2 linked regions of the Stegostoma tigrinum genome follow. The protein of the gene in region 2 interacts with the protein of the main gene of each other region in a pairwise test. Links are inferred from orthologs where the notes say so. Each region holds a gene or a part of one and is shown on either strand. Other genes may lie near its edges.

Region 1 (8,050 bases), on a different chromosome or scaffold from region 2:
CTACGTTGAGTCATGTCTTCAAAAGAATCCAGTCTGATTTTGCAGACATGACCAAGTTTTCTCCAATCATTTGAAAATTTAAGGTGTTCAGTCCCTCCATGCTCAGTAAGACTGCTAATTCCCTGTCAACAGACAGACAATATTGTATCAATTTGGTAATTGGATTATTTACAATCACTTTCCTCTAACTTCATATAGAATGATTTTTGATTTGATAACCCTTTACAAAATTTTTTGATACTGTCTTTGTCTTTTGCCAGGAGTGTTATTAAACTTTGTTCTTTTCTTGTCCGGTGCTGTCCTTTTTTGAAGAAAGTGGCACTCTTGGTGTAAATGGTTGTCACAAAGCACTTCTGAACACCTGATCTGTTACTCATCAACAGATTAGACTTGCCATTTTAACTACAAACAGTCCCTTGTCTTCATCTTATCTAAATCTAGATTCTCAATTCATTCATAATTACCCATTTCAAGCACTAATTTTTGATCATCTGATTTATATTCACATTGTTAAATCTGACCTTACTTATTGTGTAGCTAATTTGGTATATCCCATTATTGACTAGTTTCCTTAACTATATGTAACATTCAAACTCTTCCCATTAAAACCCATCTGGCTTTGCTACTTTTGTTTTTGTTGTTTTAATCTCGGCAGTTATACCAGCTATTTCACTGCAACTATCAGCCTTTGTACAACTACTTTGCAGAAGTAGGAAATGGAAGAAGATTTCCACTCAATGGTTGTGATTTTTATTTCTTAAAGCTGCTCCATGCTTCCCCATCTTGTTAATCTTACAGCCTTATCCACATACAGCCAAGTCTTAGTAGTGGTAACCATGTCACACCCTCCAAGTTGCATTCATGTCTACAATTGATCAATTTGGTATTTGCAGTTTAATGATCAACTATTTAGCCAGTGGTAAATTCACCACCTTCGATTGTCTGAACCAGTGTGATATGATTTTAAATAATGTTGACTATGTCAGTGCAACACCTTGATTTGAGAGGCTCCATGAAACCTCCAAGGTGACAAGTCAGGCAAGCAGTATGTCTAACTGGGAGTCTTGCTTTTTGTTAACGGGCAGTGACTTTCGGTTAAATAAAAGCAAACCTCCCAGTGACTATTGGTCACCATCTAGTAATGATTTGTCAGGCTGCACATAATGGTCAAGTGGGGATGTAATTTTTCAGCCCCAAAAAAAAAATTAACAGACGTGGTCTCTGCCATTTAATGTCGACCAACAACATTACTCTACTCTGACTTCTCGGTGGCCAATTAGGTACTGTGGCACAACCTTGTGGCCACTTGGTTTATTTTGGAAAAAAAATCAGCATGGTTACAACACAAGGTAATTGTTTAACTAAATTAAATCCTAAGTGCCTTAACTTCACTCATCCTGAAAACCTGAAAGGTCAGTTTTGTGCATGGCATTTTGATTCAGTTCTCTATGGAACCACTCTTGGTACTGTCCCATGAAAACACAGGTGATGTCACCTGTCCTTTTTGTGGCCTCATTCAAGTTGACTGTGTATTTACTTTCAGTTTGATATTCTGAAATCATTGCACTGTAGTACCACTTGGTTCAAATCAGGTGATCATTTTGCATAGAATTTGTGCTTACAAGCAGAACCCTGAGCTTCCAGGCATACTGTTTCAATTATCAATCTCTCTCTCTGACCTCTGTCCTTTAGTCTGAAAGTGCTAATGAAAGTTATCCATAAATTCAAGGGACAGCACTTTGCTTTTAAGTAATCACCCAACGAATATGTGGACTAAAGTGAGTTCTGCAGTGTGTGTAACTAGTTCAAAATGTTCTTTTAATAGTGTTAATAGTTCTGTTTGCACACTCACACCCTCTCCACATTTTGTCTAATGTGCAACAATTCATTCCTTTTGTCACTTTAATTTCATCTTCCACCTTCTCTCAGATCTTCCCTTTGTTACTTCACACCAACACTCTCTGCTTCTATACTTAAAGATGTTCCTAGTATTTTCTCATTCTGCCAAAAGTCCCATTGACCTGAAATATTAACTTTCCTCTTCCACAGAATAGAAGCAGCGTTGGACCGTTTGTCCCTTGGGAGCGAATCTGTCCTTCAGTACAATCACAGCAGATTTTAAACTTCAATTCTACCTTTTTGTCTTTCACCTTCCATCTTTCTCGATTGCCTGCATATCTAAATATTAGATGAGCCTTGAACATACTGAACTTGGACAGCCCTTTGAGTTGTAGCTGTAGGCTAGCTCCCGTATTGTGATTTCTGGCTGGTGAGGGTGGAGTTTTGAAGACCATAAGATACAACAGAAGTCCATTTCAGTTCATTTGAATCTGCTCCACTGTTCAACAAGATCATGGCTGATCTGATAATCCTTGACCATCCTTTTCCTCCATTTTCCCTAATACACTTCCCTTGCTGGTTTAAAAATCCCTCTGCCTCAAATATACTTATTGACCTGGCCTCCCCCCTCTCTGCTCTGAAGAATTCCATAGGTTTACTACCCTTTGAGATGAAATACTCATTTTTGCCCTAACTGGGTAATCCCTTACCATGGTATGCCTTCTAGTTCTAGACTCTCCCACATCTACCCTGTCAACTCCCCTAGGAATCTTGTATATTTCGATGAGTGCAGGCCTGAAATCCACAACACCTCATAAGATAATCCCTGCTGTACCTGAGAACAAGCTTGTGAACCTCCTAGATTGCCTCCAACGCCACGATATGCTTTCTTGGATGAGGGTCCTAAAGCTGTTGACTGTATGTTCTAGGTTGATCTGATGAGTGCCTTGTTGTTTTACCAAGACCTTTTTTTTGGACTCCATTGTATCTTACATTAAAGCTGCCTCTACCATATTACATCAGGTGCTGCCTAGGGCTAGAAGTTTATTCAGTTTAAGACACTTGCAGTGCAGTTATTTACCTGTTTCTCTGGCACTTTTAGGTCATTGAATCTTTTACTTAATTGTTCTACTTGTTAAACATTTTGGGCTTTTTCAGTCTTGCATTTCTTTCACACACTACTTTTGCATTGCTTTGACACATAAATACAATCTTGGCTGATCTTCCAACTCCATACCTTGTTTCTGCTTTTTCTTTCCCCCGTGCCATTGATTCCCTTTAGCTCTGCGAACTGTATCTGCCTCCTTAAACACTCAGTATTTTGGCCTCCGCTGCTTTCTGTGCACAAACAGTGGCATAACTTTTCTCATTGTACTTTTTTACTTTTAAGATTTTGTAGCTAGCTGTCTTCCTGACACTTCAGCCTTTGAATTTTAATAAAAAATTTTCCTCACTTTGATTTTACTTCCATTCAATGTTGCATTATTCTTTTATTTTGATACCATTTTTCATTTTCAAGTCTCCTCACTTAATCAGGGCAGTGAAAAATACATACTCCCATTGAGTAACTATTTCTTCCTTAACTCTGTCTCCAATTGAATGGAGTGGCTATGGGTCCCAGTTATACCTGCCTCTCTCGTAGGGTATGTAGAACATGTGTACTCGGCATATTTTCTCAACTCTTCATTAGTATGGCAATAACTGCATTATTGCTGCTTCCTGAGTTTGTCCCGAATTGGTAAAATAAATGTTAGTTTTCAGTATCCATATTTAACTTCATTTAGTCCATCCTTGCCCCTTCCTTGACTACTGTTTGCATTTCTGGGGATATGCTGTGCCCTTAAATCCATTACAAACCTACTAACTCCCACAGTCAGCTTGACTGTGTCAAGTCACTCTCCTCGACTCATTTGCATCTGTCTGAGGTCCAAGGCTGGGCTTGTAAGCACTGCTGCCTCACAGTACCAGAAGTTCACTTCCACTGTTGGGCAACTGTATGCAGTTTACACACCATCCCTGTTTCTTAGTGGGTTTCCTCTCATGGTGCAAAGATGTGAAGGTTAGATGGGTTTTTCATGTTAATTTTTCTGCACACTGCAGACATTGCTGGCTAGGTGGATTAGCTATGCGAAATGCAGGGTTACACAGCGATGGTAGGGGTAGCGTCTACGTGGACTTGGTGGGCTGAATGGCCTATGTCCACGTTGTAGGGATTTTTCTCTTCCCCGCCATCACTTCTAACACTTCCTCATCTCCATTCTCTCCCTTCTGACCCTACACTGCCTCTTGCAATTGCGTCTTCCCATCTCATTGTTCAAGGCCCAAACACCTTCCAGCTGAATCAGTGCTTTAAATTTCAATCTAGTCTACTGTTGCCTATTTACATGTGGTCTCTTTTACATTGGCGCAACCAAATGCAGGCTTGGTGACTGTTTAGCAGTGCACCTTATCTAAGAATGATCCTGCCCTTCCAATTGCTCGCCCTTTTCAACACCATCTTGCTGTCATTGCTGCAGTATGTTCCAATGAAGCTCATAACTAAATGGAGGAACAGAATCTCATTTCTACTTCCAAGCTTTCAATCAATTTTGATGATCACTTTTTAACCCCTTCCCCCCAACCCTAAGTTGTAATTATCCATTTTCTGTCAATATTACCATCCTCAGGCTCGAGGATACACGTTACCTCTATTCTTCTCTACCTCGTTTCTATTGGACATGTTGTGTGGTTTTATGGTGCAGCGACTATGCTGGGCTGTCGGTGGCGCTATATGCTGTACTACAACAGCGACTATGCCATGCTGTGGGTGGTGCTGTAGCCTGTACCGCAGTGACTCTGCCGGGCCGTGGGCGGCGCTGTACCCAGTACCGCAGTGACTGCCGGGCCGTGGGTGGCGCTGTACCGCAGTGACTCTGCCGGGCCGTGGGTGGCGCTGTACCGCAGTGACTGCCGGGCCGTGGGTGGCGCTGTACCGCAGTGACTGCCGGGCCGTGGGTGGCGCTGTACCGCAGTGACTCTGCCGGGCCGTGGGCGGCGCTGTATGTCACGGTCGCAGATTGCTGTTGCGGGGGGCTGATGGCTGGCCTGCTGTTTGCGGGATTGCGGAGCGGTTGTGAGTGAGTCCGGGGCTTTTGTGGCCGGAGGGCGGTATCTGGGGGACACGTCTGGTTCGTGTGCGGTTAAGCCGCCGGTTCAGCGCCTCCCAGGGTGAAGCGGACTTTAGTTTTGCGGAGGCGCCAGGAAGCCTTCGGAACCAAATAAAGTCCGTGCGAGTGGGGCACTATCCCTGGTTTGGGGGTTCAATCGGGCGGAAGGAGGCCATTCGGCCCACCGAGTCTGTACCGACCCTCCAAAGAGCTGACCACCCAGGCATGTGCAAACTGCCCGCTGTCGCCCGAGGCCGGAGTCGAACCTGGGCACTCCATACCGTGAGACAGTTAACTACTGTACAGTGCGGGGCAGATAAAAACATTGGGGTTTTTGTTAATGATCTGGGATTTTTAAAGAAAAGGAGAGTACACTGTGGGAGGGTGTGAGAGGAAGTTTACTGCTGCCTGGAAGAGCCTGGCAGTTGGCTAAGGCTGAAAGTCTTGACCTGCAACTTTCCTAGTAACAAGAGAATCTCAATCTCCCTCAGCATTCATGGCCTGGACAATAATTAGCAGAACCCACCATCCACAAGGCATAAGTCGAGTCAAATTCCATGAGTAATGGAATACCCCACACTTGCCTAGATGGCTGCAGCTTCAACAACACTCAAGGAGCTCGACACCGTCCAGGACAGAGCCTGGCACCACGTTCCAAATCCCTCCAGTACTGACACTTAGTAGCAGCAGCGTGCATTTCTTCCGGAATACGCTGCAGCAACTCTCCCAGACTGCAATGACTGCACCTTCCAAACCTACATCCTTTACCACCTGGAAGTGTCACCTGTAAGACTTGGAAATGTGTTGCTGTTCCTTCAGCATCAGTGAGTCAAAATTCTAGAAGTTGCTTCGATCAGTGTCCCTACGCCACACATAGACTACAGTGATTCAAGAAGGTGTGATGATGCTGTGGCTTTAAGATGTTATTTTGTCCTGGTTTCTTTTAAGAGAGAGATTGAATGAGAGGCTCTGAAGTGGTTAGTGAAGGCTGCTTGAGTAAACAACTTGGGAGACCTTGGATTTTGTTTTAAAAAACAGCTTGAATGTATGCAAGATAATAAAATGTGAGGCTGGATGAACACAACAGGCCCAGCAGCATCTCAGGAGCATAAAAGCTGACGTTTCGGGCCTAGACCCTTCATCAGCTCTCTGATGAAGGGTTTAGGCCCGAAACGTCAGCTTTTATGCTCCTGAGATGCTGCTGGGCCTGCTGTGTTCATCCAGCCTCACGTTTTATTATCATGGATTCTCCAGAATCTGCAGTTCCCATTATCATTGAACGTATGCAGCCAGCTCTCTCAGATCAGGATTTCTGGGTTTTGGTTTCTCAATAGCATCAGAAACTGTTGGGGTCTCAATTGAGTTGGAAGCTTCAGTAAATGTCTCCTGGCTGCTTTGAATTTTCTCTTGATGTTTCTTTCCTCCTGGATTGTGAGAATATATTTCTGAATTTCCCCTTTCACCAATGGTTGTGTTTGTGGGGTGTTACATATCGGAACAGTGAGTTAATAATAGTTACGCATCTGTTATTTGGTTAAGTCATCCAATAGAGCTACGTTATTATAAGTTCTTCATTTTGTTTGTATTTTAACTATAGGCTTTAAATAAATTTTTTTTTGCTTAATGTCAAATATTTATAGTCAGCACAGATTTGTGAAGGGAAGGTCGTGCCTCACAAACCTTATTGAGTTCTTTGAGAAGGTGACCAAACAGGTAGATGAGAGTAAACCGGTTGATGTGGTGTATATGGATTTCAGGAAGGCTGTCGATAAGGTTCCCCACAATAGGCTATTGTACAAAATGCGGAGGAATGGAATTGTGGGAGATATAGCAGTTTGGATGGGAAATTGGCTTGCTGAAAGAAGACAGAGGGTGGTAGTTGATGGGAAATGTTCATCCTGGAGACCAGTTACTAGTGGTGTACTGCAAGGGTCGGTGTTGGGTCCACTGCTGTTTGTCATTTTTATAAATGACCTGGATGAGAAGGATGGGTTAGTAAATTTGCAGATGACACTAAGGTAGGTGGAGTTGTGGACAGTGACGAAGGATGCTGTAGGTTGCAGAGAGACATAGATAAGCTGCAGAGCTGGGCTGAGAGGTGGCAAATGGAGTTTAATGCAGACAAGTGTGAGGTGATGCACTTTGGTAGGTGTAACCGGAAGGCAAAGTACTGGGCTAATGGTAAGATTCTTAGTAGTGTAGGTGAGCAGAGAGATCTCGGTGTCCATGTACACAGATCCTTGAAAGTTGCCACCCAGGTTGACAGGGCTGTTAAGAAGGCATACAGTGTTTTAGCTTTTATTAATAGAGGGATCGAGTTCCGGAACCAAGAGGTTATGGTGAAGCTGTACAAAACTCTGGTGCGGCCGCACTTGGAGTATTGTGTACAGTTCTGGTCACCACATTATAAGAAGGATGTGGAAGCTTTGGAAAGGGTGCAGAGGAGATTTACTAGGATGTTGCCTGGTATGGAGGGAAGGTCTTATGAGGAAAGGCTGAGGGACTTGAGGCTGTTTTCATTAGAGAGAAGAAGGTTGAGAGGTGACTTAATTGAAACATATAAAATAATCAGAGGGTTAGATAGGATGGATAGGGTGGTGACAGCGAGCATGAGGGGGCGTAGCTTTAAATTGAGGGGTGAAAGATATAGGACAAATGTCAGATGTAGTTTCTTTTCTCAGAGAGTAGTAAGGGAATGGAAGGCTTTGCCTGCAACAGTAGTAGATTCGCCAACTTTAGGTACATTTAAGTTGTCATTGGACAAGCATATGGACGTACATGGAATAGTGTAGGTTAGATGGGCTTGAGATCGGTATGACAGGTCGGCACAACATCGAGGGCCAAAGGGCCTGTACTGTGCTGTAATGTTCTATGTTCTATATTTGACCAGTCCCATTACAACGGAACATAGCCCTTCATGTTTGCCTTTAAAATAAGAAAAAGTTAGGGTCTACCTTCTTAAAATAATTTGAGGGGTTTGGTCTTATCCATAATACGGCTTGCCTTCTTCAGGGCATTTAGGGATGGACAATAAATTTTGGCCCAATCAGCGATGCCGGAAATAA
Region 2 (7,504 bases):
GGGCTCACGTTATCTAGCAAAGTCCAGGTTAATATTTAAGTCAGAAAAACAATTTTTGAGGGCTCGTGTCACTGTGTAGTTCTGTACGTACGTACGTACGTACGCACGCACCCACCCTCCCCTCCCCCCTCCCCTCCCCTCCCCTCCCCTCTCCTCTCTTCTCTCTCTCTCTCTCTCTCCCCCCTCCCAGCTGAGTCCCTACCTGGGTAACTGTGACTAGAGCAGCGCTGACAATACCACAAATAAACGCCGCTGCGTAAACCGAGAACTCCAGGCACAGAAGGAGAGAAAACGCCATGTTCCTAACACAGATCACAGAAACACGGAACTGCAAGAAGTTTTAGTTTTCAGAGGGGAGGGGATCTGTGTTCGTGGTACAGCCCCTTCCCTCACCTGACATTCATTTGCTGAATGACACAGCCAGTCCAACCCCCAGACTCTCCAATTTGCCAATTGCAAAGCTCACTTTGCATTTTGCATTCCCAGGGGTTCACGCACGAAATGGCACAAAAGTTGTTGATTTTATTTCCTGCACAGTGTCACCGCTGGGTAGGGTACTTGCGTGCCCGGGGAGTGGGGCTCACCTCTCTGTGTTGGGGGGTCTGGGAACCACAGGCTAGCCTTAAGGCTGAAACGCACTGCCAGTGCTGAGGGAATGGGCACTGTCAGAGGGCCAGTGCCGAGGGAGCGGGCGCTGGCGGAGGGTCAGTGCCGAGGGAGCGGGCACTGTCGGAGGGTCAGTGCTGAGGCAGTGCTGCACTGTCGGAGGGTCAGTGCCGAGGGAGTGGGCACTGTCGGAGGGTCAGTGCTGAGGAAGCGGACACTGTTGGAGCGTCAGTGCTGAGGGAGCGGGCACTGTCAGAGGGTCAGTGCTGAGGGAGTGGGCACTGTCAGAGGGTCAGTGCTGAGGGAGCGGTCACTGTCAGTGGGTCAGTGCTGAGGGAGCGGGCACTGTCGGAGGGTCAGTGCTGAGGCAGTGCCGCACTGTCGGAGGGTCATTGCTGAGGGAGTGGGCACTGTTAGAGGGTCAGTGCTGAGGGAGCGGGCACTGTCGGAGGGTCAGTGCTGAGGAAGCGGACACTGTTGGAGCGTCAGTGCTGAGGGAGCGGGCACTGTCAGAGGGTCAGTGCTGAGGGAGCGGTCACTGTCAGTGGGTCAGTGCTGAGGTAGCGGGCACTGTCAGTGGGTCAGTGCTGAGGGAGCGGGCACTGTCGGAGGGTCAGTGCTGAGGCAGTGCCGCACTGTCGGAGGGTCATTGCTGAGGGAGTGGGCACTGTTAGAGGGTCAGTGCTGAGGGAGCGGGCACTGTCGGAGGGTCAGTGCTGAGGGAGCGGACACTTTCGGAGCGTCAGTGCTGAGGGAGCGGGCACTGTCGGAGGGTCAGTGCTGAGAGGGTGCCGCACTGTCAGAGGGTAAGTGCTGAGGGAGCGGGCACTGTCGGAGCGTCAGTGCTGAGGGAGCGGGCACTGTCGGAGCGTCAGTGCTGAGGGAGCGGGCACTGTCGGAGGGTCAGTGCTGAGGGAGCGGGCACTGTCGGAGGGTCAGTGCTGAGGCAGTGCTGCACTGTCGGAGGGTCATTGCTGAGGGAGTGGGCACTGTCGGAGGGTCAGCGCTGAGGGAGCGGACACTGTTGGAGCGTCAGTGCTGAGGGAGCGGGCACTGTCGGAGGGTCAGTGCTGAGAGGGTGCCGCACTGTCAGAGGGTCAGTGCTGAGGGAGCGGTCATTGTCAGAGGGTCAGTGCTGAGGGAGCGGTCACTGTCAGTGGGTCAGTGCTGAGGTAGCGGGCACTGTCAGTGGGTCAGTGCTGAGGGAGCGGGCACTGTCTGTGGGTCAGTGCTGAGGGAGTGGGCACTTCGGTGGGTCAGTGCTGAGGTAGCGGGCACTGTCAGAGGGTCAGTGCTGAGGGAATGGGCACTGTCCATGGGTCAGTGCTGAGGGAGCGGGCACTGTCGGACGGTCAGTGCTGAGGGAGCGGTCACTGTCAGTGGGTCAGTGCTGAGGGACTGGGCTCTGTCAGTGGGTCCGTGCTGAGGGAGCTCTTTACTGTCAGAAATACAGTCTTTCGATTGTCACCATCAGCTCAGGACTATCCTTGCAGACAGCAGTAAAATGATTCAGTCTCCAACAATGTGCCTCTCCGTCAGCATGAACAGATTCAGCAGGAGAGGGCTTTGCCACAGGACAGGACATGTGAACAGGTACAAATGGAAGGTGTTGGAACATGGAAATTCTGGACAATTCAGCTCTCTGATTCCTGAACAGTCAATCAGCAAAGCTGCAACCAGGCGCACAGTTCTAATAAACCCTAAAACGGAGCAGAGATAAGGTCTTCAGTCCCACAAGCCTGTTCCACCATTCCACGAGATCATGGCCAATCTACGTCTGGACCATTTTCCTCATGCTCCCCATATTCCTTGATGTCTTTTACAGCTAGAAACCATGAACACACACAGTGATTGGGCATCCACATTCTTCTCGCTTGGAGGATCGCAAAGAGTGAGCTGTCTTCTGAATCTGGAAGAGGAACTTTCCACTTGAAGAGAACCATCTCCTAGAATCATTGATTCATGGAGTTTTCATGGGTTAGAAAGTGGCCCTTCGACCCGCTGTATCCGTGCTGGCCATCGAACAGCCACCCATTTAATCCCATTTTTTAGCATACAAATAAAACTTCCCGCGGATCCTCACCCTGGCGACTCTTCAGAACATTGCGGTCAGAAGTTCTGAAGAAGGGTCACTAGACCAGATCATTAATGCAGCCTCTCTCTGCACAGATGCTGCCAGACCGGCTCTGTTTCGCCAGCAACTTCTCTTTTTGTTCCAGCATTTGCTCCATAGCCTCATATACCGTGGTATCCTCTACATTGTGGGTGTGTGGGTTCTGGGGTGGCAAGGGGTGGGGTGGGGGACGGTTGTGGGAATGTAGGGCTGGAGGGCTCGTGCTGGGCACAGCTTTTAAAGGGGAGTATTTGGGGGTGGGAGAGGAATGAATGGGCCGAATGGATTGCTTCCTGTTCCAAATGGAATTATGTTGATACCACCTGCCTGGCGTAACCTAACAGCAAAACAACAAAACAGCAGAAGAAAGGAGTGGGGTAGGCCATTCAGCCCTTCAAGCTTGTTCTGCCATTCAATGATATTAGGGCTGATAGGGTCAGAAAGATATACAGCTTAGAATCAGGCCTTTTGGTCCAACATATCAATGCCGACCAGATATCCTAAGTTAATTTAGTCCTATTTACCAGCATTTGGCCCGTATCCCCTACAAACCCTTCCTATTCATGTGCCTATTCCTATTTGTGAAAAAGTTGCCTCTTAGGTCTCTTTTAAATCTTTCCCCTCTCACCTTTAATCTATGTCCTCTAGTTTTGAACTCCCCCACCCTGGCTCTTCACCCTATCCATGCCCCTCATGATTTTATAAACCTCAGCCTCTGATGCTCCAGGGAAAATAGCCCCAGCCTATTGAACCTCTTACTTGTTCGCACAGAGGGTGGTGCATGTATGGAATGAGCTGCCAGAGGAAGTGGTGGAGGCTGGTACAGTTACAACATTTAAAAGGCATCTGGATGGGTATCTAAGTAGGAAGGGTTTAGAGGGATATGGGCCAAATGCTGGCAAACGGGAACTATCTTAATTTAGGATATTTGGTCAACATGGGTGAGTTGTACTGCAGGGTCTGTTTACTATAGGTGTGAGCCGGAAAAGCGCAGCTGGTCAGACAGCATCGGTGGGGCACATAGGTGAACATTTTGGGCCAAAAACCCTTTGCCAGGTTGCTTTTCCAGCCTCACACCTGTAGACTCTGGCTTCCAGCATCTGTGGTCCTTATTGTCCCTGGCTCTGTTTCAGTGTTGTGCCTCTCTGTGACTCTCCCTGCAGCTGAAACCCTCCAGTCCTGTGGCACATGGCCTATTTCCCAAATGCCTGCCTTTTGACCCATTGCCCAGAGGAAGGAGACGCACAGCTGGAAGCAGGCAGAGGTAGTCAGGGAGAAGGTTTTGAAATAGCGGGAACTGCAGATGCTGGGGAATCTGAGATGACAAGGCGTAGAGCTGGACGAGCACTGCAGGCCAAGCAGCATCACAGGAGCAGGAAGGCTGGCGTTTCGGACTTGGACCCTTTCTGAAGAGGGTCTAGGCCCAAGACATCAGCTTTCCTGCTCCTCTGATGCTGCTTGGCCTGCTGTGTTCGTCCAGCTCTACACCTTGTTGTCTAGGGAGAAGTTTTTGGAGCTTTTGACATGGTCCTGATGATCCTGTCTCTCCAGCTCTGATGAAGGGTCTAGGCCCGAAACATCAGCTTTTGTGCTCCTGAGATGCTGCTGGGCCTGCTGTGTTCATCCAGCCTCACATTTTATTATCTTGGATTCTCCAGCATCTGCAGTTCCCATTATCTCTCCAGCTTTTAGCTCTGGTTCAGTCTAGGGGTGGTGGTCGGCTACTGTCAATCATCACAAAGGCCACGCCCCCTGGGTTTACGACAGTGCCGTCAGTCAGGCGGCTCTCTCTCTCTTCGGCGCCCCGGCGACATGGCGGACGGGGTAAGTGCTGGCTCCCGGTTACAATCCGCGGTGTATCGGCGCCATCCCGGCTCCGCGAACCCGGCTGGCGGTCCCGAAAGCTCGGCGGGCCTTTCTCACTGAGCCGTGTGCCTTCATTTCCCGCAGATCCTGTACTCGTACCCGGAGAACTGGCGGGCCTACAAGGCGCTGATCGCCGCCCAGTACAGCGGCTCCAAGCTGCGGCTGCAGAGCGGGCCGCCGCATTTCACCTTCGGACAGACCAACAGGAGCGCCGCCTTCCTGCACAAGTTCCCCCTCGGCAAGGTCAGTCTGTCGGGGCGGGACAGGGGATCCGGAGCAAGCCCCGGGCTGAGGGGAGATCGCAACCCACCCCCCACCCCCTCCATCCCCGTAACACCTCGCCTCCCCACCTCCAAATCACCCCCTGCCTCCCCACCCCGATACCCCTCTCCACACACCCCCCCTCACTGCCCCCCTCGTCCCTGTCCCCCCCCCCATTCGTCCCTGTCCCCCCCCCATTCGTCCCTGTCCCCCCCCCCATTCGTCCCTGTCCCCCCCCCATTCGTCCCTGTCCCCCCCCCCATTCGTCCCTGTCCCCCCCCCCAATCTCGTCCCTGTCCCCCCCCCCAATTCGTCCTGTCCCCCCCCCAATTCGTCCCTGTCCCCCCCCCCCATTCGTCCCTGTCCCCCCCCCCCATTCGTCCCTGTCTCCCCCCCCCCATTCGTCCCTGTCCCCCCCCCCCATTCGTCCCTGTCCCCCCCATTCGTCCCTGTCCCCCCCCATTCGTCCCTGTCCCCCCCCATTCGTCCCTGCCCCCCCCCCCATTCGTCCCTGCCCCCCCCCATTCGTCCCTGCCCCCCCCCATTCGTCCCTGCCCCCCCCCATTCGTCCCTGCCCCCCCCCCATTCGTCCCTGCCCCCCCCATTCGTCCCTGCCCCCCCATTCCGTCCCTGCCACTCGCCCCTATGTCTCCATCCTCACCCGCCCCCAACTCCCCCCTTGTCCCCAGCACCGATACCCTCCTATCGCCCACATCCTCACACTTAATCCCCCCCCCATCAGCCCACCCTTAATTTGCTCCCCCATCCTGCTGCGCTCCCCCCCCACCTGCCATCACGCCAATAGTAAATCACTTTTCATTCACTTACAAAACAATACCGTCACTGTAGAGTCATGGAGGTTTTCAGCATGGAAACAGGCCCTTTGGTCCTCCTTCACCATTCCACCCAGTTTTTGCAATTAATCTAGTTAAGTTGCCTGCATTTGGTCCATATCCCTCCCCATACATTTCTTCGATGTCAAAATTGTACTCACGTCCACTCCTACCTCTGGCAGCCCATTCTAGACACTGACCACTGTGTTGAAAAAATTGCCTCTCTGGACCCTTTTGTGTATCTTTCCTCTCACCTTAAACCTGTGCCCTGTAGTTTTAGACTCCCCATGGGGAGAAGCTGTTGGCTACCTTCTGTATCAATGCCTCAAGGATTTTATAGACCTCCATAAAGTCATCCCTCAGTCTCCTACCCCAGGGAAAACAGCCCCAGCTTGTCCAGCCTCTCCTTATAACTCAAACCTTCAGCCTAGGCAGCATCCTAGTAAATATTTCCTGCTCTCTTTCTGGTTTAATAATATCCTTTCTATAGTAGGGCAGCTAGAACTGCACATGGTACTCCAAGTGTGTCCCTACTAAAGTTTTGTACAGATCCAACAAGATTGTCTTGAATATTCAGCCCTGCTGTGAAGGGATTATTGGGGGAAGGGGGACTGTCCACTTCTCTGTTGTATGGTATTATATTCCATCACCATGTCTTTTTTTTGGCCTAAATGCCTTTTGGAGGAGGCGATGGCAAGCTCTCATGACCCTCTGCTGTCTGTGGAGTGTAGGGACATACGCGGTTTTGTTAGGAAAAGAGTTCTAGGATTTTGATCCAGCAACAATGTAGGATCAACGGATATATTTCTGAATTATTGTGATGTGTCTTGGAGGGTACTCCCATTTATCTGCTCCCCTTGCCCTTCTCAGTGGTGGGGGGCCGTGTCACAGATTTTAAATATGTGTGGAGTTTGCTACTGTTCACTCCTTGCCCCCATTTTTCAGTGATTTTTAATGTATATCCCTGCCAGCACACCAATCCCGAATTATTGGAGTCTCACATTTTGGCTGTTTGGATGTGGAGCAGGATTGTCTGACGTCGAGTGGACCTGCCTGTCTCAAATCCTGGCAGGCTCAGGAGCAGGGATAGTGCTTGATGCTGCCATGACCTCACTGGATCAGGGCAATCTGTTGGTGTCAGCAACATGTCAGCGAGAGTGTGAATTGAACCTAGTTGTTAGTGACGGATGAATGACTGTGCTATGTGCAGCCTGCTGTCGGCGTGGCTCAAGTAACAACACTCTCTCCCTGCAGTCAGAACCGTCTCAGTTGTAGACTGGGGGCCATTTGGTGCTTTGAGTCTATTCCATTGTTATTCAGTGGGTGATTTGCACTTCATCCCCCAATAATGGGCACCTGGGGGTTAGAGGCATGGGTGGAATATAAGTGCGGAAGTGTCACCACACCTGTACGAGGTAATGGTGAGCTTGAACCTGGAGTCTCGTGTACAGTTTTGGTCTCCTTACTTAAAGAGGAATGTAATTGCATTGGATGCAGTTCAAAGAAGGTTCACTTGGCTCATTCCTGAGATGAAGGAAAGGTTCAGTAGGTTGGCCCTTTACTCAAGAGTTTGAAAGAATGAGAGGTGATCTTGTTGGAACACTCAAGATTGTGAGAGGGGTTTGATGGGGCGGATTCTGAGAAAATTCTGGGAAGGGGAATGAAGAAGGCGCAGCTCCACAATATGGGGGTCTTCTGTTTACGATGGAGTTGAGGGCATTTCCTCCAAGGGTTGGGGTCTGGCTCTGGCTGCTAATCTCAGCCTTGAATATATTTTTGTTTTTGATCAACAATGGAGTCAAGGGTTGTGAGTGGGCAGACAAGG

The links. The genes of interacting proteins can lie anywhere in the genome.
Region 1: the proteins of eef1g (region 2) and ech1 interact in a two-hybrid assay, tested with the Homo sapiens proteins (2 studies listed by BioGRID and IntAct). The link is inferred for Stegostoma tigrinum from reciprocal best matches to the Homo sapiens genes EEF1G and ECH1.

The regions. Positions count from the first base shown.
Region 1 is NC_081392.1:7,501,069-7,509,118, reverse strand, and holds the start of ech1 (delta(3,5)-Delta(2,4)-dienoyl-CoA isomerase, mitochondrial), read left to right. Parts: upstream 1-4,828; 5' UTR 4,829-4,914; coding exon 4,915-4,951; exon of another isoform or gene 4,952-4,955; intron 4,956-4,981; exon of another isoform or gene 4,982-5,784; coding exon of another isoform or gene 5,785-5,809; intron 5,810-8,050. UniProt on the Homo sapiens protein: Isomerization of 3-trans,5-cis-dienoyl-CoA to 2-trans,4-trans-dienoyl-CoA.
Region 2 is NC_081395.1:5,755,015-5,762,518, forward strand, and holds the start of eef1g (elongation factor 1-gamma), read left to right. Parts: upstream 1-4,442; 5' UTR 4,443-4,531; coding exon 4,532-4,543; intron 4,544-4,669; coding exon 4,670-4,828; intron 4,829-7,504. Other genes in the region: transmembrane protein 179B-like, read right to left, coding at 203-298. UniProt on the Homo sapiens protein: Probably plays a role in anchoring the complex to other cellular components.